Linked DNA regions of Caenorhabditis elegans. The protein of the gene in region 2 purifies or fractionates together with the protein of the main gene of each other region. This does not show direct contact. Each region holds a gene or a part of one and is shown on either strand. Other genes may lie near its edges. The genes, in order: epc-1, mbk-1, dlgr-1 and ythc-2.

Region 1 (4,878 bases), on a different chromosome or scaffold from region 2:
AGCCGGTAACCAGCCAAAAACTATCAAAATTGGTCACTTATGGGGTTATTCAAGTAGTGTCGGAAAATTAAAAAGTGTAGAAAAATTATGATAGTTTTTGGTTGGTTACCTATTGGCTTTAAATGTACCTTAGTAATCAACGAAATTAAATGAGATAAACTAGCCAAATGTGCAATAAAGGATGATAATTCCAAAAAAAGTCGATTTCGGACAGATGTGACACGGACAAATGACCAAAATTCAAGTTTTTAGCTAAAATCAGTGTAAATTTTCCGAAATTTTGAACCGCCATAAAAAACTTTAAAAGTTTTAGAGAAGTTTCATCACGAAATTCGTTCAAAATAGTCAAATTCTTACCTTCCGACATTCTGTCCTGACTCTCGGAATTAATCCACCGACTCCAACACAACCAGACGTCGTCGCAGCCGATGTTCGCTTCGACAGCCAATATTCGTATATTTCGTACACGATTGATGAGTCCAGTGCTGCAATTAAACGATATTTTTGGGGGGGGGGGGTTTCAATGGAAATTTCGTCAACTTACATTTATGCAAATTAATCACCGAATCTTCGCTCGCGATCTGTGTCTCCGATGAATGGCTCTCCACTGTGTCGAATATCTTTTCCAAAACGCGCGGGTCAATGTGAGTGTGATCTGATAGCCATGCTTCATCTTCTGTGTCGTAGTCATACTCGGGTTCGTCTCGTTCGAGTGCTTGCCAGGCTGAAAATAAATCACATTTTCATAGAAAATTCCGGTTTTTCTCCTTTTTTCGCAAAAACTGTTCAGAAAAAAGGGAGGTAACTAAACAAATATATCGTCATCAAATTCTGATCCTTTTCAAATGATAACTGATAAGAAACGCAGAAAAATGTACTTTCTCACTTCAAAACAGAGAAGTGTAGTTAAAAAAAGAAAAAATTTGATCAGGGAACAATATTTCGCAATTTGTTTTCTTATTTTTCTGGGAGTATGGGGGTGAAAGTTCATTTTTGATGCATTAAAGATACCGAAATCTGGGAAATATTTTTGATTGACTCAAAATTTTCCTCTGATTCCGAATTTCAACGTGAAAAAAGTCGAAAAAATATACCTGATTTTATATTTAAGCTTGAAATCACGAATTTCCGCGCCCAAAAAAATCGCATTGGAGCGCGCTTGCATCGTTTGATTTGTTTCGTTTTTCAAAATTTATTTTCGCCGAATTCAATTTTTTAAACCAGTTTCATTCATTTTGGCAGAAAAAAACTCGACAAAAATGAATGAAACAAGCGAAAATAAATTTTAAAAAAGACGAAGAAAATCAAACGATGCAAGCGCGCTCCAAAAAGAACACACAAACACAAAGCTTGAATATAAAATCAGGGAATTTTTTTTTGAATTTGTCACATCGAAATTCGGAATCAGGCGAAAATTTGGAACCAATCAACAAACATTTTTGAAGGTTTTAGCCAGGAAGTCTGAAAAATCAAGTTATTTTCTTTCGAATTCAGAGAGGAATTTGAAAAAATAATAAATACAAGAAAACCCAAGCGGAAATTAATTTCAAAAAACCGGAAATTAAATTATTTTCGCCGAAATTTTGGTTAAAAAAACTCACCATGAACTTTGATATACTTTGAACGGTGCATTTTATTCTTGTTGTGATAAGTGGAGTGATAGCGTTGATCTTCGACTCGGTCGACTTTTGGAGTTGGAATGACATGGTTCAGCTGAATACCCGATGTACTGGCTTGCTGGGCAGCAATCGCTTCTTGCAGGTGTTTTTCCTGGAAATTTAAAATTTAAAATTTAAATAATCATTTAAAATCATTATTTCTGTTTAATTTTTTTTTCAAATTTGCATTATTATTCCTGGTGCTAGACTCCTGGAATTTTATTTAGAATCCAATAAATTTGCAAAAATTTTGAGAAAAAATACCCCACAGGGCATGTCTTGGAAGAAGAACAAACAAATGACGTCACCAGGGGTCAAGAGGGTGGGAAAAACTAGAAGATTGACGGAAAAAGGTGTAATAAGTCGGCATAATTGGGAAATTGTGTCAAAATTTGGACAGAAGAAGGTTGTTAGCACTCAGAGAACACTTTCTGTGATAGAAAAAGTCGTTTTTAACGGAATTTATTACTTTTTAAATGCTTTTTCTCGAGATTTCGCCTTCATCTCAGGCTTAGCAAAATGATTTTTTAAAGCCAAAAATTAAAATAGAATTAAAATATTAAAAAAAAACATTTTGCGGGTAGGACAAAACATTTTAAGTTAGTTAATTGAGCTGACTTTGAGAAAATAAAATCTAAATTGGAAATAAATTCAAAGTATGAAGTTTCCGTCGAAAAATAACGATTTTTTCATAATAAGAGTTATGTATAACTGCTTAAACTGATTTTTTTTATGATTTAAGAGTTGTAATAAAGGCCCACCGGCGGCTAAAAGAGAAAAGAGAAAAATCAAAAATCAAAAATCAAAACTTAAAATTAAATAGAATAGGATGAATTAAGAGAATTGTTAAGTTTAAAAGTGTAAAAAAGAAATAAAAAATGAAAATAACTATAAAAGCGATCCAGAAAGGCAAAGACAAAAATAGTGACGTCATCAGGGATCAAAAATTTGAAAATTCTTCAAAGTAGTCGGAAAACGGAATTAAAACATGATTCGGATAGAAAAAAGCACCAGGAATTCGAAAAAAGACATTAAAACTCGAAAAATTTCAAAATGGAGCAGTAATCCATAATCCACCAAAAACCAACCTGTTCTTCTTCTTTTTCCATGCCAGACGGCATTTGTGTCACCGCCCGGTTTCCAACACTGCATTCTGATAGGTCCGGAAGTTCGTGGCCCCAGTATACAGTCATAGACCGGTTCGAGTCGAGCGCCCGGGCTCGAAACGCCTTCGAAGTAGTGGCCATCTTTCTGTACTCCCACGTTGTAACTACGGTTAAGAAGAGCGGCGAGGACGCCGCACGTGTTGAATCGCCACGGACTTTGCGATGAATTCATCCGCCGATGACGGCGAGCATAAAAATCAAAAATGAAATGAGCTGAGCACTGTGTTTTAAGCAGTACTTTTTGAGTCTTTTTGTGTGTTTGGGGGGGGTTAGCAGTGGAATACAACAGAAGGCCCTACACTCAGGCCAACTATCGACTGGTTGAGCGCGGGGGGGGGGGGGTCTCCTTCTCTTCTCACAGACACTCACACTTTGCTCTCTTTCCCTCGCGCACACTCTCCTCTTACCACACTATCTTCCTCGTCGCCACTCTCTTCGTCTCTCGAAAATGTGTTGTCTCTCGTCGGAAAACACTCACTAGAGAGGCACACAGAGCGGCCACGTCGCACCACACACAATCGCACACACACACAAATAGACGACGCGACGCTGCCGCTCCGCATTACTCAATGCCGTTGAGTGCGGCGCGGTCGCGTTGCGTGAGTCTCGTGCTGATTTACGAGAGGTGTGGTCGAGAATGAACTTTAATTTTTGGAATTTTCAGCGATTTTTAGGGGATTTTCGTTGATTTTTTTAAAGTTTTATTAAAATATTCGTCCAAAAATAGCCTGAGAAGCTCTTTTTGTTCAAAAATTTCTTGTTCATTAGTGGATTTTTGTTACTTTTTCGAAAAGTAACTTGTAAAAATTATTTTCGAATTGTTTTGCAGTTTTTTCTCTTAGAAATTAATTTAAAAACGTTGCAATATGCTTGAAATGAATATCAGTGAAACTTTTTGTCGAAAATTCAGTTTCGCAACTTTGAAAATTAATTTCGTAACATTCCGTTCAGTTTTTTTTTTCTAGAAGTATCTGAAAATAATTTTATTCGTGAAAAAATCACACTTTTCAGGTAAAATGGACGAGGATAATCATCGCATCGAGGAGAGTGAAATTGACGAGGTAATTTTTTTTTTTTGAAAAAAATTCAATTTTTCAACAAAAATTGAAAAAAGAAAAATTAAAAATTTTTACAGATCATCGAAATCGACGATGATGCCGAGATGAAGTACGCTAGTGACGACGAGGATCAGCAAAGTACTTCGAAGTATGGTTTAGATCGAGAAAATAACGATTTTTCATTGAATTTTTACACAAAAATTCGGTTTTTGCCATTAAAATCGCCCATTTTCCAGCGCCGACGTTCCTGCAGAAATCATCGATGATTCTCTAATGTCTCTCCAGGCACACGCTCAAGACTGTTTCACAGTGGCTCTGGCTTCAAATCGTTGGCTCGCGACCGGTGGAGAAGACGATGTGGCTTTCCTTTTCGATCAAAACCAATCCGAATCCGAGCCAGTGCTTAAGGTGGAGCACAAGGATTCTGTCACTCAAGTGATGTTCAATCATAGCGAAACTTTGCTGGCTACCGGCGATTTGAGCGGGAAAATCATGATCTCTGAGATGGCGACGAAGAAAGTTCGCGCGGAGGTTGGTAGAACACCCACCGTTGTATTCCACTACGCTCTGTGGGGAAATTGCTTTAAAACACGCATATGGTACCACAATGACCGAATATCATGATTAAAAAAATTCCAAAATTTTTTCTAGATTTTATATGATTTTTTGAAAAATGGAAGAATCACAGTTTTCACCTAATTATTTTTTAATTTCCGCCAATTGGATTTGTTCGGTGGAGCGCGCTTGCACGTTTTTAAATTTATTTATTTTATTTTTTGTTATTTTTTATCGATTTTTAATGTTTTCGGTGTATTTTTGCTTGAATTTTAAAGAAAAAGTCAAAATAAATGCAAATATTCGATTAAAAAGCACGCTGACAGGCGTAAATCAGAGAAATTAATTAATTCATGTTTGAAATCGTTTAAAAGCGTTACTTTTTCATTTTTACGCCTGTAAGCGTGTTTTTTAATCGAAAATTTGCAATTATTTTGACTT
Region 2 (6,727 bases):
TCTTATGAACTTTAAATTTACAAATGCACTTTCAGTATGGCAGGAGTCCACCAACGGCAGCTGTCAGTAGATTTTTCTTGAGGAACTTCAATCGAATCTCCTATGATATTTTATAGTTTTTTTTTGAGTTTGGAAAGGTTTATTTCTCATGTTTTATATGTTTGAAATGGTTTCATAGAAGACTCAAAATAAAACATTTTATTTTCTGCAAGTGTTTTGTATTGTGTTAGACGTGTTTATACAATTTTGTACTTTAATATAAGTTTACTTAGTTTTTGAGGATACATATTTTAAAACGCAGCTAATTTTTAGAGTTAGAATATTTTATAGACAAACTCAAAGATTTTTTTAAAATGTTTTCAAAATACTATGTTGCTTGGCCACCTGTAATTTTATTATTTGGAAAAAAATATCCCGAGATCGGGCCAGAAAAAACGACAATAAACTGATGCTTATACACCGTAAACACGTGGTGCCAGAGTGTCTCATTTCGGTTCGATCTACGTAGATCTACAAAAAATTCGGGAGTTGAGACGCAGACTTCTCAACTGATTTCGCATGGTTAAGAACGTGCTGACGTCACATTTTTTTGAGCAAAAAATTCCCGCATTTTTTGTAGAACAAACCGTAGTGGGACAGCCTGGCATCACGTGCGTAAAGCGTAAGTTTTATTCAAGTTTTCCCATATAAATAAGTTCTTTCCCAGAGGTAGAATTCGAACATTACTTTTTTTAATGATTTCCACTTCTCAAACTATATGCGTGTTACCATGTGAAATGTTAATTCAAGATTTGTTAAAGGTTTCAGAATAAATTTTCAAAATTACAGCAAAACCCTCAATTATCTCGAAGTGCATTGAAATCTCAACAAAAAGTTCAATTTACGGGGTTCGAAACGCAAATCTTCTTGATTTCTCATGTTAAGTTTTCATTTTTATAAAATAGTTTTTTTTTCAAACCACAATCCTTAAGTTGTGGTCTTATTATCAAATATCACGTGTTATACTTTTTCAATACACCCCTTTTTAAATACATAATCCACCTGGAACTTTTTTTTCTGTAAAATGTAACTCTTTGTGGCAGATGGCGCACCTGCTCGAACCATTTCCAGCTGCAGAACTTTTTGTGTCTTTGTATCGTTCCACCGTTCGTCCCCACTCCGTTCGTCCCCGTTAACCCATGTTCCCCACTCTCTCATCAGTTGTTGAGAGCGCTGCGTGTCGCGTTGCGTGTCCTCGACTCTCTCCGCTCACCACACTCTTTCGAGCCCTCTCATTCACATGTGATCTCTCCTCCGTGTTTCTCTTTGCCTCTCCAATGAATTTTTATCGTTTCATAAATAATTGTAGTGGAACTACTTGTTTTTTTCTTGTAAAATTTAATTTTTTTTTCAAATATTTCAAATATTGCAATTTTCCGTGAATTTTAATCTTTTTCTTGTTATATTCTCTTTTGAATATTAAATTTTTATGTTTTTTTTTTTGATTTACTCTATTCTGCTCGTTCTCTTGAAAATTGTCATAATTAGTTTGAAGATTTTAACAAATTTTCAAAAAATTTCAGGAAAACATGAACACAGCAGACGTGCCTGACAATCTTCAATCATGGGGCCAACAACCATCATCAAGTTACTCAAATACCCAGCAACACTCACAAATGACTAATCTTCCGCCTATCAATCACAATAATCTTTGCGACACCGAACCGATGAACGAGGACTTTCAACTTCAAGACGTGCAAGCTGACGAACTTCAGAAGCAGCAAAAACAGCAAGAGCAGCAACACATTCAACAGCAAAATGCACAACGTTTCATTGCACAAAGCCGTCAACCACATTCCAACATTCTGAGATTCCCACAGCCACCAATCACTTCAATTAAGACGAATTCACACGCTTTCTATCCACAGCAAGAGGTTTGTAGAACGTTTTTTTTTTTGTGTTTGAAAAAATCACATCATTCTAAAATGGAATATTTAAACGCTGCTCACCCCCACATTGCTGTAAATAATTTTCATTTTGAAAAATAACAGATAAATTTCAAATTTGCAAAAATAAACTAATTATAAAATATGATGATATTTGGAAAATATTTCATTTTAATTTCTAAATCTAAAATCTATTTTTGAAAAATAAAGCTTTATGAGCCGTTGCCATTGTTACGTTGATAAAACCGTGATTCAAAAGAATCTGATTTTGAAAAAAAATAACGATTGACTGATTTTTTGTGATTAATAGAAAATTGCCGTTTTCCTGGAAAAAAATGGAAAAAAAATTGGATTCTGAAGATTTTTCGTATCATTTTTGTATCAAAATATGAACTTTTGTATTTGCAAGCTTTCAATGTTATTTTACAGTTTTAATAGTATCATCAACGTTAAGATTTAAATTTGTTTGGCAACAAATCCCATGAGTAGTAGAATTGTTTATTTTAAAGTTTCAAAATCAACTACTTTTACATTTAAAATTAACCTGTTAACTGAAGCCTACTAATTGAACATTACCAAAATTTTTGATTTTTTTTCTCAATTTGAATGGTAGTAATTTATCAAGATTTTAGGTGTTCTGCTATTAATTTTTTTAGTATTTTAGTATTTAACTAATTGCTTATTAGTTCAAAAAACAAAAAAAAAACTAGTTTAATCTGTTCAAATTTCTTATCAGTTACCGACGTGCTTCACATAGTTGCAGCAATCAATTCTAGGTTTTCACATAATTTCCTTCATCGGGTGTTCTTATGCAACAGGGCAGTAATCACTGAAGGGCGAAAGTCGAGCTTTACACTATTCCGTTCTTTTCCCTCTTCTCTCCCATCATTTCCTCTCCCCCTATCTCTTTTCTTTTCTACACACTCAACAAGAAATCAGCATTTGCGTTTGCATTGCGGTGCGGACGTTTTGTCTCTCCTGTTGTTATACTACCGCTCTGCACATTCGTGGCCATGCCCAACCTCAACAACTTTTTCAGTCTCCGAAATGATCACTTTGTCCTTTGATAGTTTTTGCCCCCGCTCCAAATTCTGCAAGCGCTTTTTCAGACTGATCCTAGAGTACCTTCTAATGTTGCAATCTTACAAGTTTCAGGTCACCCAAGTCCGGCCAAAGAAGCATCGCGTATCCATGACTAATGCAGAAGCGGCACTAACTCCCGGAATGCCTCCGGAAAAACAAGCCGCAAAGAAGGTACAGCCTAGATGATTCAACTTCTTGACACATATGTCTCAAAAGTTTCAGAGAAATATTGGCCAGTTCTCGACAGATACTGTTCCGGCTGGAATTGGAATGATTGGTATCCCGTTTGAATGTAAGTTTGGCTAGCTTTTGTGAAAATATTATAAGAATAAAAAATAAAAATAAATTGTACACATTCCAGCTACCTCAAAGCCACTCCAAATTCAACAATTCCGAAATCCTCAAGACGCGCCAGTCAGAAAACTAACCAGTGATCTCATCAAAACTTACAAGGCTATCAATGAGGTAGGCGAAGATGGAAGAGAGTCTTAATACCGCTATAAAAGTTTCAGTCTTTCTACCTACGGAAACAGGTTCGACGTGATCGTCACAAGAGTCAAGATGCCGGAAAGCCAAAGGGATCCAAGGATGGTTCCGGGGCGAGCCTGACTGACACATTCTCCATTCACAATGCGATTCCAATTACGAGTTCTGATAATCATTATCAGCAAGATGCTCATCAAAATGCGTATGTTGTTTTCGTGTGATATTTGAAGAGTTCACTTTTTTTTTTGACTTTCAGTCCTCCTCTACTTGACACTAATGCTCCGCCCACCTCAACAATGGTTGTTCCTATGCGCACAGAGACTGATCTTCAACAGCAGCAGCGACAGAAAAGTAGTCGTGGCGGTCCGTACAATAACGGGTATGACGATCAGAATTACGACTATATTCTTAAAAATGGAGAGATATTTGACAAGAGGTATGCTGAAAGCACGAAACTTATTTGACTAACAGCCTATTTTTCAGATACGTGATTCTCAGTGACACGCCGGTTGGCAAAGGATCTTTCGGGCAAGTTACAAAAGCTTACGACACGCTGAATAAAGAAGAAGTCGCTATTAAAATTATCAAGAATAAGAAGACTTTCTTCGATCAAGCTCAGATTGAGATTCATCTTTTAGAATTGACAAATGCACATGACAAGGATAATAAGTATAATATTGGTAAGTTGCATGACATATTAACATATTCAATGTTGATAGAATCAACTTTTCAAATTTTCAGTTACGCTCAAAGGGCACTTTGTGCATCGGGCTCATCTTTGCTTGGTATTCGAGCTTCTCTCCTACAACCTCTATGATCTTTTGAAGAACACCAGTTTCCGTGGCGTTTCGTTGAATTTGGCACGCAAATTTGCCCAGCAATTAGGAAAAACTCTTCTCTTCCTGTCATCTCCAGAATTATCGATTATCCATTGTGATTTGAAGCCGGAAAATGTGCTACTAGTTAACGCGAAGCGGTCTCAAATTCGTGTGATAGATTTTGGATCTTCTTGTCAGACTGGACACCGAATCTACCAGTACATTCAGTCGAGATTCTATCGTTCGCCGGAAGTGCTGCTCGGCATCGCGTACGACACGAAAATTGATATGTGGTCCCTGGGATGCATTCTCGTCGAAATGCACACCGGAGAGCCGCTGTTTGCCGGGTCATCGGAGGTTGACCAAATGATGAAAATTGTGGAAGTTCTTGGTATGCCACCAAAAGAGATGTTAGACATTGGCCCGAAAACACACAAGTATTTTGACAAAACTGAGGATGGGATCTACTATTGTAAGAAGACTCGTGACGGATACCGCCATACCTACAAAGCTCCTGGAGCCAGGAAACTTCACGAAATTCTGGGTGTGACTTCTGGCGGGCCCGGAGGTCGCCGGCTTGGAGAGCCAGGACATTCTGTTGAAGATTACAGCAAATTCAAAGACTTAATAAAGAGAATGTTGCAATTTGACCCCAAACAAAGAATTTCGCCCTATTATGTGGTTCGGCATCCGTTCTTGAAGCAGAAGGAAGAGCGAGTTCCATCTCAACCGGTGTGTTTTTTTTAATTTAATTTTTAATTTTTATTAAAATTTAAATTTTTTAAATTTTCTTTCAATATTTAATTTTTTAGCCGGTGTCTCACTCGAACCTTCAGCAACAACAGCAATTGTACATACAGCAGCCGTCAAGCCAAATGAGTCAAGTGATGGAATCTCCGTCGGTTGGATCAGTCTATGTGGAAGATAACGGGATGTATCGCCAGGCGCCTGGATCTTCTGCCAACCCAATTTCCGTCACATCATCGTTTGACGAAGGAGATGCCATGGAAGTTGATGCTGGGAGAAGACGCTTCTCTGCTCATCAGCAAAATTACCACAATCCAAACTATCAGTACTCTCAACCACAACAGCAACAGCAGCAGCAGTATCAGCAGACACAGCGGTAAGTACAAGTACAAAGTTTGGTCTCGTGTGAACCTTATGAGATTTTGGACTTTTTGGACAGCTGCTCCTATGACACAAACTCAGAGAAAATAATTGCGTCATCAGGAGACTACCAAAAATTTTGTGGTGTTCGAAATAGACAAGAAATTTTAAAACTAAAGAGAGAAAAATTATATATGTAGAAATTTCTAGAACGCAACTGGAGCAGCAGCAGAAACAGGCTCAACTCCAACAGCAGCTCCAGCAACAGCAAATGCAGCAACAGCAGCAACAGCAACAACAACGCCAGCACATGCCACAAGCGCAGAGCAGTTCCCAACAGCACCTCCAATCACGGGCGCGGCCACGACAACAGGATCAGAACGAGTGGAGGAATCAGTTTGAGCTGGATGACACGTTTCAGCAGAAGCAGCGAAAAGTTGATGACTCTGTATCGAATCAGATTTCTAGAAATCAATTCAATCCACAACAGGTGAGATTTTTTTTTGCAATAAAAAAAATGCGCTGCTGCACCCCCCACCCATCATTCAGAAAATGCCAATTATTGAAAATAAATATTTTAGGTATCGATGACGCATGGAAATGTAAATGCTAACAACCGAGAGATGGAGAAACTCGATTACCCGAACAACAAACTCTGAAGCACACAGAGTCTAATAGCTAATTTTTTTGGAAATTCTGTCAATTTGATGTAATGCTTGTTATTTTTTTTTGTTTCTGTGAACAATATGGAGTTAATAAACACTGGTTCAACTTTAGCATTTTTTTATTACTACTGTTGTATTTTCAATTATAAGTTCTCAATTTATCAATTTAAGAGGGTTTTTTTTTTGGAAGTTTTAATTAAAAATATTGGAAACATTTAAAACAAGCATGAATGACGTGTCAACAGAAAAAAAAACCTGTTCAGATATTTCGTAACTTCTCTATTTGCCAATGAGCTATCCTCAACCCAAGCAGCAGCGGGGCATTCGTCACCGACTGCAAAAAAGTACTACATACTAGAAGTTTTTCGTTCAGAATTTTCTTGCAATTTCTGCCATTTCCCCCACCGCCCGTTTGCCACCAATGTCCATCCATCCATTTCGCAACGCGACCAGGAAGATATTATAAATCTTCGACGCCTTTAGCCAATCCCCCCCCCCCCCGTCATCTCCACAGGAAAACCTGTTTTTGTTCTTCTCAAGTTCCATTCGTTTCTCTGTATTCTCTTCATTTTTCGTCCAATTTCATATAACACACCCTTTCCATCCATGTTTCTTTTTTTTTTTTAGGAGGCCCGTTTTCATA
Region 3 (4,636 bases), on a different chromosome or scaffold from region 2:
GGAAGAAGAGAGGAAAGAAAACTACTACAAGGATTCCACCAGATATGGCATCAAGCATCAAATCTACAAGAAGAGCTGCTGCTTCGGACGCTCTGAAACAGATCAGAAATACCTCGGAAGGAGGTAGATTTGCGAATAATAAGAAGAAGAAGGTGAAGGATCCAAATGCAGATATGTCTGGAGTCTTTGGACCAATGACAAAGCTCTGTTATATCAGCACAGAGCTTCAACAAGTCACCAAAGATCAGTGGATGAAGCGTTGCGATGTGGTGAAGGCTCTCTGGGATTATATTAAGGAAAATAATCTGAAGGATCCAAAAAACGGACAATACATTATCTGTGATAGCACACTTGAGTCGATCTTCAAGAAGAATCGTCTGAAGGGATTCGGAATGGTAAAATTCTTGACAAGACACATCATTGGAACCAGTGATATGGCACCGGAAATGAGAGAAGAGGCTGAAGCCGAAATGGATAAGCGTAGAAAAGAGTGGAAGGTGAGGACAATATTTGAGCAAAAATCGCCTGAAAATTTGAATTTCTTCAGAGTAACAACGGAAAACCAATTTAAAATTTTGATTGCAGCTGATTTTTCTAAATTAGATGTGATATAATCTTCTAAAAAAGATTAAATTTTGTTTAAAAACTATAAAAAAATTAGAATTCGAGGTTTTTAGACGATAGTATCACAATTCGAAGACATTTCCTTTTCGTTAAAATAAATTCAGAAAAAACACAGCAGAATCTCCCTGATAAAATTGTATAAACTTATTGGAAAAAAATGCCGAAAATGACGGAAAATTCGATAAAATAACGTTTTCTAGATTTTTTAATTTTAAAATTACACATAAAAAGGAGAAAATTGGTATTTTTCCAAATTTTGATAATTTTTAAAAGATGTTTTATAAATATTCAATTCTAAAAAAATCAAAAATTTCAGGAAAGACAAGCAAAAAAGCGTGAAGCCGACCTGGACGCCAACGGAGTTGCAGATGATGAGCCAGAGCCCAAAAAACCAAAAAAGGAGGAGGTGGAAGATGATGAAGATGAGAAAAAGGCCGGTAGCAGCTCTTCAGATGATGAAGATAGCGATTAATTTATCGTTAATTTCCTCATTTTTGTTATAATTATCTCCTACACTCAGCTATACACACAAAATCTCCCCCATTCCACGTTTTTTCTCCGCATTTTTCGGCAATAAACTGCCGAAATTCCAGGGCCCAATTTCAAATTCAAATTTTAAATGCAAAAATGAATTTTCCCCTTTCCCCAAACTTCTTTCAATTTTCTCCCCTTCAAATGTGTACATTTCCTTGAACTTTTCCTCCACTGAGCTCTCTGTCATTATTGCTTTCTCATACTTTTTACTATTATATTTAATATATATTATACATATATCTCCTTCATTCCACCATCGCCCACCGCATATTGTTTTTCTGGGTGGGTTTTGAGAAGAGAAACATGGTAATAAAACATTTTTTATTCTCCAATTCCTCTCTCTTTTTTGCTCCAATTCTTTTCGGCTCTCTTCTTGTTTCTTTGCGAGAATCTATACTATTTTTGATTCATTTTTTTCTTTTAAAATTTCCATACTAACACACTTTTTTTAGCGATGCCGGAGCGAGAAGCTAGGAGTAAACCGAAAAAGTCTGTGATCGGCACGTTTTTAGGTCGACTCGGCCGGAGCAAAAGCCGCGGAGCATCCGATGTGGAGAGGAAGAAAGAGTAAGTGAGAAACTGCTTAAAGTTGTACTAAAAATGAGAGGTTCAGTCAGAAAAAAACCATTTTTAACATACAAAGTGTGTTTTCTATTTGACTGAAAAATATTTGAATTTTTGAGACTTATCGACGAAAAATTGATTTTAGCTTCCAAATTATTTCAGAAATCAGTCAGATGCCCCACCAAATGTCGTGGTTCCGGCTTCAAAAAGCGATGGAAATATCAAAAGCAGCAGCAACCGTCGGAGCTCAGAAACATCACATCGAGGTAATTCTGAACTGAATCCCGTTCGAAAAATTTGGTAAAAGTTTCAGAAGCGGCCGCTGGATTTTTAGTGGAAGAAGCTCGGATGTCGCCGGCTCGACGGCTTCTCAATCGATTTTCGACGCTCCGTGCTACAGGAAGATTTAGGGTATCGAAACAACAACAAAAACCCCCTAACTATGTACATATCGCCATAGCAAATTGAAACAATTTGAAAATTATTTATCCCACGCGACACCAAAACCTACATCTTTCACTCCAAATTCTTCTTTTAATTTATACAAAAAATTCAATTATTACTTTCGAAATGTCAAGTTGCTCCTCTTTACAGTCATCATCGTCACGTGGTGCTTCGACAGACAGTCTCAATACGACAAGCAATGGATTTTCGGGTTAGTTTTTCTGTAGGAAAAGCTTCCAGTGTCCAGGGAATTTGCATTCCCCGATTCCGTAGTGTCTCCTCCATGCATTTCAAAACAGCAATCACATAACATTTCAGATGGTGGCTCCAATCTTCTCCCACCAAAACCCAACCGAATCGGATGCGCCGCCACTGGAGCCCAATCGGAGACCGATCTGCGTTTCGTAACATCCCGCGATACACACGTGAGCAACAGCTGCACCACCGATTGGAGCACACATTTATATTCCTTTTTTTTTCATTTTTTTAGAGCTCTATTCCACTCAACGAGCCATTTGGATTTGGCGAGAAATCGCCGCGAGCCTTTATGTCGGAAAATGATTTATCCGCTGGAGCCGCCGGAGCATCGACAGATTTTCCCGAAGTTACAAGAACACCGAGCTATTTGAGAATATCATGTGCATTGAATGGTTATACAAAGTTGGTTTTTCTTTTTTGAAAAGCATTTTTAATTCGATTTTTTTCATTTTCAGATCACCGAACAAGTCGGATCTCACACCAATAGCTCCTCATCCACCTGTATCAACAATGGGTGAAAGTTTTGTTGAAAGGTATAAGTTTTTTAGAATTTTTCTTCATAGGAAAATCCCAAAAGTAATTTTTTCGGAATAATTAAAAAGTTACTTTTAATCTTCAAAATGAAAAAAAAAACTTTAATTAATATTTTCAAAATATGAATATTAACGTGATTTTAATTTGTAAAGGAAATCAAAATTAAAAAAAGGTCGTTCATACCCCGACACAAAATTTAAGTTAATTAAACTGCTGGCCGAGCGATAATTGGGTCCTTTTGTGTGCTGATGTTGCCTTTTCATGGTGCAATATTCTCATCTCATAGTGTTTCTAATAGAATAATTATTCACTTTTACACAACAATTTACAGACGTTCAAGAATGTTCTCACAGCCACAGCAACGCAATCCTGCACCCGGTTTCTCGAGTCCTTTGCCACCGACGACAGTGTCAAGCCAATCGGCGAGCTCCGAAATTGAATGGTCAGTGGAGAAATTCTGAAGATATCTGAAAATCTGAAAAAAATTGTCGCCTAAGTTGTTCCAAATCGGCGGAGCTAACCAATAAAGGGGTGGGCCTTCAATTTCGGAATTTTAATGTTTTCCTATAATCTCTAGAAAACGTAGGCGAGATTTTCCAATTTTTGTTTCTTTCTATTCCTCCTCTTGAAAAACTGCGAAAAGTGGGCGTGTCATTCTTAGGCCACGCCCACTAATAAGGCGTTTCTTTTTTCGGCACATTTTCCGGATTTTCCAAATTTTTTTTCCGCTCGAAATTTTCGAATGAAAACTTAATAGTAGGCGTGGTTTCGTAGACCACGACCAAAAAATGGAAAGAATTAGCTTCTCGACCACATTTTCAATAGCTGAAAATGAGGCGGGACTTCTTGACGACGTCCATTTTTAGGGCGTGGTTATCTTTCATTCTGAGTTTCTCTTATCTGAAGAATACTATATGAATTGTCGTCCAATTGTTGTACATTTTTTCGGCGTTTTCTCACTGGTGACAGCTGGCGGCGTTCAATTACCGCACGCCCAGAAGAGTATACTATTGAGTATCGGTATCAGTATCACAAAAGTGTAATTTGATAAGCAGTATCGGAAGAGAGAACGGGGGAATTTGGGTGTGGTGGGGCACGTCCGATCGACAGACAAACCGACAACGGATGACAGATTGTTTGGTGTAGCACAGTGAGTGCGCGAACACCCATCCGTTCACCACCAGAAGATGAAGCGAACAGCAGAATGAAGGCGGGTGTGAGGGCCATACATATTACCCGCCGGTTGACTGCTTCCCCTTGGCACCCATAGCAGTAGCTTTCCTTTTTATATTTCTTCTTTTTCCATTTTTTTGTTGTATACTTTTTGAATCGCTTGCGTCCTTCCAAATAGGTGTGAATGGGGATAATTGTTGGAAGCCAGAAGACTTTTTTAGCGAGGAAACTGGTTTTTATGCCCTCTTCTTCGAGGATTAAGGCGGAAAATTCGACGCCTCTGGGAGAATTAGAAGGTTTACAACTATTTGATCGAGTTTTTTCCTATGTTGGTAATTCGTGTCTCACATCAGCAGTAGCTCAACATCAGCAGCAGTCAATACCATATCCGATTTCCTCGTTGGTTTTTCTTCTATTCTTTGCTTCTTCATTTTGTTTCTCGAGAGCCCATGGACCATGTGTCACTCTAATTATTCATCGCTTTCTTCTTCTTCTCGACAACATG
Region 4 (7,577 bases), on a different chromosome or scaffold from region 2:
GTCAATTTCCATCCATTTTTCACAATCTTCATTCAAATTCATATCTGATTGAACTCTTACAGCCAAATTCGATGATCTGAAAATACCGTGAAATAGGGTGAATGAGAGTTTTTCTTAAAAATACTCCAAACCCAAAAAACAAATCCAGAAAATAAAAGTTGGATTTTTTTCGGTTTTGCTCAAAAAATATATATTAAACTTTCAGCGGCAGTCTTGATTTCAAAGCAACAGTCCACCTTTAAATATATATTTGTTTTAATTGAAAATTTCCACTAAATCCGAAAAATACAAAACTCCTCACTCATCATTTCCATCAAAAGGCACATTTGTTTCCGTAAAATCCATTTGTGTAACCTTCTGTGTCATAGTTTCAGAAAGCTCTCTCGATCCGTCATTTTCATAGGATAATGCTGTTTCTTCCGCGATTTTCATCGATTTTCGAATAAATCGTTCTCTGGCACGCTGGAAATTAGATTCTCTATAGATATAATTTCAATAATACTCACCTTCTCAATTACAAGTTGCTGTTCTTCCTCTGTACGTACTCGAAGATATTCATACTTTTGGGAGTCGAGCACAACTTGCGACAACGTTGTATTCTGAAGCTTTGGATTATTTAATGATTGTATTTTGATAATTTGCAAAAGTAGAAGAGTTCAACTGTCTTCAATTAGTTTTTTATGCCTTTTCATTGCATTCTTCACTTCCTATTTCATTTACTAACCGATAGATATGATTCATCATTCATTAAACCATCTTCTGATTTATCACTGTCGAATACATCTCCAGAAGTATTCAAATCCGGTTCGAAAGCATCGGAAATCTTTGGCGTTCTTTTCTTGGTTTCCTCGCCATTGCCCAGTATTCCGTTATAGATAGTTGAAATTCTGAATAATTAATTTTCAAATATAAATCATATTTTTCTTTTTTAAACGAACCCAGGCGTCTTTAATATATCTTTTTCCAGTGAATCTTCAGTCCCTTGACTGAATATTGGAGTGAATACTCCGTCCTGATAAAATTATTTATTTGAAAATTAGGATTTTTTTTTTTCGGAAACTCACTATCATTTTCTGGACAGTGTCGAAGCTTAGATTTTGTGTCAAATTTACGCCGATGTCCTGCGAATCGGGTATTCTTGCATCTGAAAGCAAATTTAATTGAAATCTATATTTCAAGATTTCTAGCTTTTCACCTTTCAAAATATCACTGAGTTGTGAATCATCGGGTTCCATTCTGCGCTACAAATCAAGTAATATTTTTATTTTATTGAGAAACAAGCAGAAAAAATTAAAAACTTAAGTTTAAACTTGCAAGAGAAACAAATAAAGAAGTTCACTTTCAAATTCAAGTGTGTGATACCGTACTCCATGATTTCGTTCCGAGACCCATCTGTGAATGAAACCCGACGTCCTTTAAAAAAGTTTGTTTTAGGCGCCATTTTCATTTGTCGGGATTTCTTTTTTGTCATTGTTTCAGCCTTGATAGATTTTTATCTCGTCGTTTGTCACGTTGTTGTTGCGTCTGAATATTCTCATAAAATTGCAGCATAATGTCAGACGAACCACCTGGATTCTTTCGGGGTGGAGTTGATAGCAAACGTTGTTCTAGAAACGGGTGAGTTCTGTTTGAAAAAAATTAATATTAAAAAAACAAATATTTTTGAAAAATCTTATATTTCAATCATCAAATGACTGTAAACAATTTTCAGGTTTGATGCATCGCGGGTCTTGCCACGAGGTACAGATAATGACACTCGCAAAGAGTATCGACGGGTGGCGAATGAAATCATTCGTTCGTTTCTGAAAAGTGGACAAAAGAACACGACACTTGAACCTATGGGAAGAGATCAGAGAAAGGTGATGCACGAGGTCGCGCTACTCAATGAAATGACAACCAAATCTCATGGAAGAGAGCCAGATCGGTACATGATTCTGTCGAAGAGAGTGAACAGACTATCCAAGTCAACTCTTGTTGCAACTGAGCCAATCACTCCATCCTTCGAGTGTCTTCAGAAGCTGTCGAAGTTTGTCGAAAAGCATCCGATCACCAGAGAAGAAATGGACGAGTTTTTGACAGAGACACAGACAAAACAAATGCACACCACGAAGGGGCATATTAGTGATAGAATGGTGATCCCACCAAAGTCAAAATGCTCAAAAGAGTTACAAAAAGTCAGGTTTGTGAAAACTGTATAAATAGTTACTCCTATAACATTAAAAATTTCAGAAATTCACTGCCAGCTTCCAAATATTGTGACCAAGTGCTGAAATCTATTAGCTCGTGCAATGTGGTTATCATCAGTGGAGGAACTGGATGTGGAAAAACTACACAAGTACCACAATTCATTCTCGATGAAGCGCACGAAAATAATAAACATGTTCGTGTGATGGTCACACAACCTCGTCGTATTGCTGCAATTTCAATTGCTGAACGAGTTGCGAGGGAACGTGGAGAGCCCATTGGACGCACTGTTGGATATCAAGTTAGACTTGATAGCAGGTAATTCACACTTTTCTCTCGATATCACTTTGTTTCAACTTCATTTTTCTTTGCAGACGAAGCGACGATACTGTTCTGACATATTGTACCACTGGTGTTCTTCTAAGAATGCTCACATCTGACCCAGTTGCCTCTGGAATAACGCACATTGTGATGGACGAGATCCACGAACGTGAAATCAACACAGATTATCTTCTAATTGCACTACGTGAATGTCTAAAAATGCGTCCAGATCTCAAAGTCATTCTGATGTCAGCAACGATCGAAGGAAATATGCAATTGTTCTCGAATTATTTTGAAAATCATTCAATGGATGTGATTCGTATTGAATCTCGAGCATTTGATGTGAAAGTTTTCTATTTGGATCAAATTCTTGCAATGACTGGCTATCAACCACCTGAATCGAAAGCCTTCTTCTCTACTGCCGAATATGAAGAAGAGGATTGGAAAGATGAAATTGAAGCTGTTGAAAGGGAAGAGAAGGATAAAGCCAAGCAGAGAGCTGCTGATAGTTCACTTTCCACTTTGTCTAAACCAGTAACAAAGATGGCTGCGAATACAAAAAGGTAGGTTTCTTATTCATGTAGCGACTGACTCTTCTCAAATTTCCAAATTTTAGAAATTCGCCGATTGAAGAACGCGAGTGGACTTCTGGGCCCTGCAGTACACCAGATGGTGATATCATTGACGAGAGAGCAATGCGTCAGTACATGAATATAATAGGGAATCCAGATATTCGTCCTGTGATTACTGTTGAATTTCGTCCAACCACACCTAACTCGGTATTCATCAATGATGTGAAATATACGACGAATCCCAATCAATCAGCACAAGCGTTACTCCAACAGAAGAGAGAAAGATGTTTGATGCCACGTGGTCCACTCACATTTACATGTGAGAATCCAGCTTCAACCACCAAGTCACCACCATCTCCAACTCCTACTCTCGGCATTTCTAGTGGTTTGGCGAAATTTACGCCATTTGGAGGTTTTGGGGTGAGGAATGCAAAAATATGAAACTATTTTGATTTCAAACATTTAAAGAAATTTTGATCTTATATCCAATACTTTTTTTTCAGGAAAAACAACGTATTTCTACTCTTCTTGAGAAAAAGTTCAAAGAAGAATTAAAAACAGCACTTCCGGATCGAACAGTTTATTATCATCCTCAAATGAATGACGTCGTCGATAAAACGGATTTTTCGAAACTTCGTTTCGGAGAGAAATATAATTTGTTCTATGGTTCCTCTTCTAACAATTCAGTCGACTATGTGTTACTTGATCAAGTCATTCAATACCTTGCTGACAGCCCAGTTTTTGGAACGATTCTAGTTTTTCTCCCAGGATACGAGGATATTCAGCAGATGTTGAAAGCGGTTGGTTTATATTGAGCTTCTTATTCAAAAAATTATATTTTTAGATCGATTGTTGGAAGAACAGTCTAAAAAATATGAAGAATGTGATCGTCTTGCCATTACACTCTCAAATGACCAGTATAAATCATGGCGACATTTTCAAGTCTGTTCCAAAGGACACAAGGAAAATTGTAAGACTCCTAACAGGGAGTTTTTATTTCAGTTTGACATGCCAACTTTGAATCAAAAATAATGTTCTACTAAAATCTTTATTATTAATTTTTGAATGAAAACGTTGGCTTGTCATACTGAAAGAAGCATACTTGTTCGACTGCCGATCTCAGACGCAGCACCCAGACTTCTAATGAACATAAACTAAATTATTTCCCACTTTCTAAATATCTTCCCCATTCCAGATTCTCGCCACGAACATTGCTGAAGCCTCAATCACCATCGAAGACGTAATTTTCGTTGTGGACACTGGAAAAGTTAAAGAAAAATCATTTGATCATGAAGCGAAGCTCAGCACACTTACAGTGAAACCAATTGCTCGGAGCAACGCAGATCAGAGATCTGGCAGAGCTGGCCGTGTGGCCAATGGATATTGTATTCGTCTTTATACAGAGCAAGAATACAATTCTATGCCCGAAACACAAATTGCTGAAATGAAAAGAGCGGCGATTTACGACGTCACATTACATGCGAAATTGTTCGCTCCGAAAACATTAAAGATTTCCGAGTTCTTGTCATTGGCGCCAGAACCTCCAGAGAAAGAGTCTATTCTGCAGGCGATCACTTTTCTGGAACAAATTGGAGCATTTTATACTCCAATCAAAATTTACGACAATTCTGGGAATGAAGAAGGCTTGAAAAATGATGAGGAAGCCGAGAACAGCGAAAATCCCGAAGATCCAGAACTGACAGATTTAGGAAGATTAATGGCAAGACTTCCACTTGATCCACAGTTATCACGGATGCTTTTGTTTGGTTTAGCACTCAAATGTCTCACTCCAATTGTCAATTTGGTAGCACTACTTGCGTCCAGAGAACCTTGTAAGTTAACGGAAAATAAACTTTTGTGAATTCTTCTTTTTTTCAGATGTCCTAGCACTGTCCGAAGATCGTGATCTGCAATCCAAAATGAAATTCGAAATGGCACAACAGGATTTATCGGATCATTTGCTGTACATTCGACTATGCAATGAATTCTGCTCTAAAAACAACAGTCAACAGAATCAGTTTTGTCGTGATCATTTTCTCAACTTTTCCACTATGAGGATGGTTCAAGGAACGCGACGGCAATTGCTTCGAGAACTCGTACGAGCCAAATTAATTAATATATCTCCTAATAGGGACGTGTTAACTGTTTTAACTGATCACCATTTCAATCAGTTTTCTCAATGTTGGCCAATGATACAGGCAGTTATTGCGGCTGGATGCTATCCATTTATTGGTGTTTCTGCGTCCGAATCAAACTTGAAAAAAGTGCAGACTTTGTGAGTGTTTTTGAAGGTTTTTCAGACTTTTGTAAAAAAAAACGATTTCTTTGACGATTATTAAAAAATTTAGCAATCACTTTAAAAGTGGAGTTCTCAAATTTGAAACTTTTCGGTACTCAACCTTTAATTAATCAAAGGTTTTCAGTAACTCTACACGGTAGACCATTAATTTAATAACAATTTTTTTGCAACGACAAGATTTTTCAGCAACGACAAGCCAGCATTTTTGCACCCGTCGTCGATGGTAAAGAAGCAAATCGTTAAAATGGGGAAAAGTGAGAAAAGTCCTCGTGTCGAATATGTCGCTTTTCAAGAAATGTGTCAGATGCCATCCGATAGATCACTTTCCATGAAAACTGTCACTGTCATTCCATCGATGACTGCCTTGTTGTTCACTGGTCCAATAAGGCTTGACGAGAGAACGATTGAGGATAATAATATCAGTAAGTAGATATCTGGAATAATATTTAATTATAATAATTATTTTCAGTCTTCGAAGAAGGTGAAGATATTTCCGTTGAAGATAAACCATTGCCATGGGGTGCAAGTCTTTCCCTTTTGAAGCTTGACGAGTGGTACAATGTGAGATCTGTAAAGAAGGTATTTATAATGTTATGTTAGTATTAGAAATCTATAAAACTTTCAGAATCTTTGCCATTTTCTACGTCTTCGTCACAAATTTATGCACTTTTTCGTGAAAGGAATATCTGATCCTGATACATTCGGAAAACAAACTTCGCTTGCAGATTTAGTGAGTTTGGCGATAAATTAACATAATTTATTATTCGATCTTTCAGGAAATGTTGGAATTGATTCGTTACGTATTGGAATCTGAAAATAAACGCTACAACTTTGCACCTGTGGTCATGCCCCATTTAAATCTGAAATTCTACTCAAACTCCGAGAATCCGTATGCGAGCATTGTGAGGAATGATAATAATCGTAGAAATCACTCGGATCCCAATCAAAAGTCAACAGAACGAGAATCAAGAAAACCTAAAGAGGCTGTCTCACATGGAAATTCAAGAAAACAGTCTAAACCACCAAAAAATCATCAAACGAAGACAACATCCAACTTTCCGTCTCACAATTTTCCACCTCCGGATTTAATGCGAAATAGTCATTACAATCAAAATATGAGCACATCGCATCAATCGTCAAGTAGTAACAATCATCATTATAGCCATAATTATAGTTATCCACATTATAACATCCAACTGCCACAGAATCAGTACCAATCGTGGACTCCGCAATTTGATTTTCATTCGATGAATACAAGTTATGGAGAACATGGTCACAATGGTAATCATCAATATATGGAGTCGTCTGGAATTCATGGTCACATCCCATATCAAGGGGGAAATTTCAACACAAGAGGTGTTAGCAGAGGAGGATTTTCCTATACAAGTGTGAGTAAGAGGCAGGGCTTTTTTTTTGGTTTAAAGGGAAAAGTGTTCACACTGTAGATTTCGGTTCCTAATTTGAAAAAAAAAATTATGTCTAAATAATATACAAGTTTATCTTTCATTGTTCCAATTTAGGGTAATCAATTTCGTGGACGTGGCCTATCGCGCAAATTGTATGAGCACAATCCTCGCAACGAGTAACCGGTAGTTAAATGTTTTCCGGTTTGTTTTTTTTTCTGAAATCGTTATAAACTTGCCATTTTTGTTTCATTTTCAATTTGTACTCCAAAATGGATAATTTAGCTGATCATTCTAGAGTATTCCTGCTTTATGAATCTTCTCTTTATCTTTTTTCTTTGTATTCGTTGATTTCCATGTTTTCTAAATTATATCCCTTTTTTATTCGTAATAAAGAATTCTCATTGTTGATTCATAATTCACTTTGTATAATTTTCCCAGTTTACTTCTGATTTTCTATTTTAAATAATTGACAACCTCTTTCTAATATTTTTTTGTATATTTAGATGGACAATGAAAAAAAGTCTATGTACGAACCTGGTGTAATCTTAGGAGGATGCACTTTGAGAAGACAATTAAATGATTCGGGGGAAGCGATGGTATTTTTGGCAGAATCGGGCAATGAAGAGAAGAAGGAGGTAAATAAATATATAATTTTATTTATTTTTTCACTACAAAAAATTAGTGCGGCAATTTCAAAATTTGTAACCTTCGCACGTGTTCGAAAACTAAATTTGGTGTCTTTTGGGAGACGATTATTAAAGAAAAAATGAACAAAATTTGAAATTCCCGCATAAT

What was found.
Region 1: the proteins of mbk-1 (region 2) and epc-1 purify together in Caenorhabditis elegans (affinity purification with mass spectrometry, with the first as the bait; one large-scale study listed by BioGRID). This does not show direct contact.
Region 3: the proteins of mbk-1 (region 2) and dlgr-1 purify together in Caenorhabditis elegans (affinity purification with mass spectrometry, with the first as the bait; one large-scale study listed by BioGRID). This does not show direct contact.
Region 4: the proteins of mbk-1 (region 2) and ythc-2 purify together in Caenorhabditis elegans (affinity purification with mass spectrometry, with the first as the bait; one large-scale study listed by BioGRID). This does not show direct contact.

Annotation. Positions count from the first base shown.
Region 1 is NC_003281.10:12,605,454-12,610,331, forward strand, and holds the start of epc-1 (Enhancer of polycomb-like protein), read right to left. Parts: upstream 3,015-4,878; 5' UTR 2,906-3,014; coding exon 2,747-2,905; intron 1,771-2,746; coding exon 1,602-1,770; intron 725-1,601; coding exon 545-724; intron 486-544; coding exon 358-485; intron 1-357. Other genes in the region: Y111B2A.12 (WD_REPEATS_REGION domain-containing protein), read left to right, coding at 3,841-3,885, 3,960-4,030, 4,119-4,413.
Region 2 is NC_003284.9:14,819,376-14,826,102, reverse strand, and holds mbk-1 (Dual specificity tyrosine-phosphorylation-regulated kinase mbk-1), read left to right. Parts: upstream 1-1,562; 5' UTR 1,563-1,568; coding exon 1,569-1,913; intron 1,914-3,080; coding exon 3,081-3,179; intron 3,180-3,230; coding exon 3,231-3,300; intron 3,301-3,369; coding exon 3,370-3,473; intron 3,474-3,520; coding exon 3,521-3,696; intron 3,697-3,750; coding exon 3,751-3,930; intron 3,931-3,977; coding exon 3,978-4,174; intron 4,175-4,235; coding exon 4,236-5,044; intron 5,045-5,124; coding exon 5,125-5,435; intron 5,436-5,629; coding exon 5,630-5,909; intron 5,910-6,000; coding exon 6,001-6,078; 3' UTR 6,079-6,194; downstream 6,195-6,727. UniProt on the Caenorhabditis elegans protein: Possible role in the function of olfactory neurons.
Region 3 is NC_003281.10:5,437,609-5,442,244, reverse strand, and holds the start of dlgr-1 (Protein kinase domain-containing protein), read left to right. Parts: upstream 1-1,610; 5' UTR 1,611-1,612; coding exon 1,613-1,725; intron 1,726-1,884; coding exon 1,885-1,988; intron 1,989-2,029; coding exon 2,030-2,133; intron 2,134-2,316; coding exon 2,317-2,377; intron 2,378-2,484; coding exon 2,485-2,591; intron 2,592-2,656; coding exon 2,657-2,826; intron 2,827-2,879; coding exon 2,880-2,957; intron 2,958-3,289; coding exon 3,290-3,400; intron 3,401-4,636. Other genes in the region: T24G10.2 (DM2 domain-containing protein), read left to right, coding at 1-497, 941-1,096.
Region 4 is NC_003279.8:8,317,959-8,325,535, reverse strand, and holds ythc-2 (putative ATP-dependent RNA helicase spindle-E), read left to right. Parts: upstream 1-1,548; 5' UTR 1,549-1,552; coding exon 1,553-1,617; intron 1,618-1,711; coding exon 1,712-2,179; intron 2,180-2,229; coding exon 2,230-2,502; intron 2,503-2,558; coding exon 2,559-3,068; intron 3,069-3,121; coding exon 3,122-3,497; intron 3,498-3,580; coding exon 3,581-3,877; intron 3,878-3,921; coding exon 3,922-4,047; intron 4,048-4,272; coding exon 4,273-4,909; intron 4,910-4,955; coding exon 4,956-5,352; intron 5,353-5,562; coding exon 5,563-5,798; intron 5,799-5,845; coding exon 5,846-5,955; intron 5,956-6,001; coding exon 6,002-6,106; intron 6,107-6,152; coding exon 6,153-6,764; intron 6,765-6,896; coding exon 6,897-6,962; 3' UTR 6,963-7,189; downstream 7,190-7,577. Other genes in the region: Transcription factor cep-1, read right to left, coding at 1-76, 302-462, 507-599, 725-887, 939-1,012, 1,065-1,144, 1,196-1,235; F52B5.2 (Protein kinase domain-containing protein), read left to right, coding at 7,286-7,417.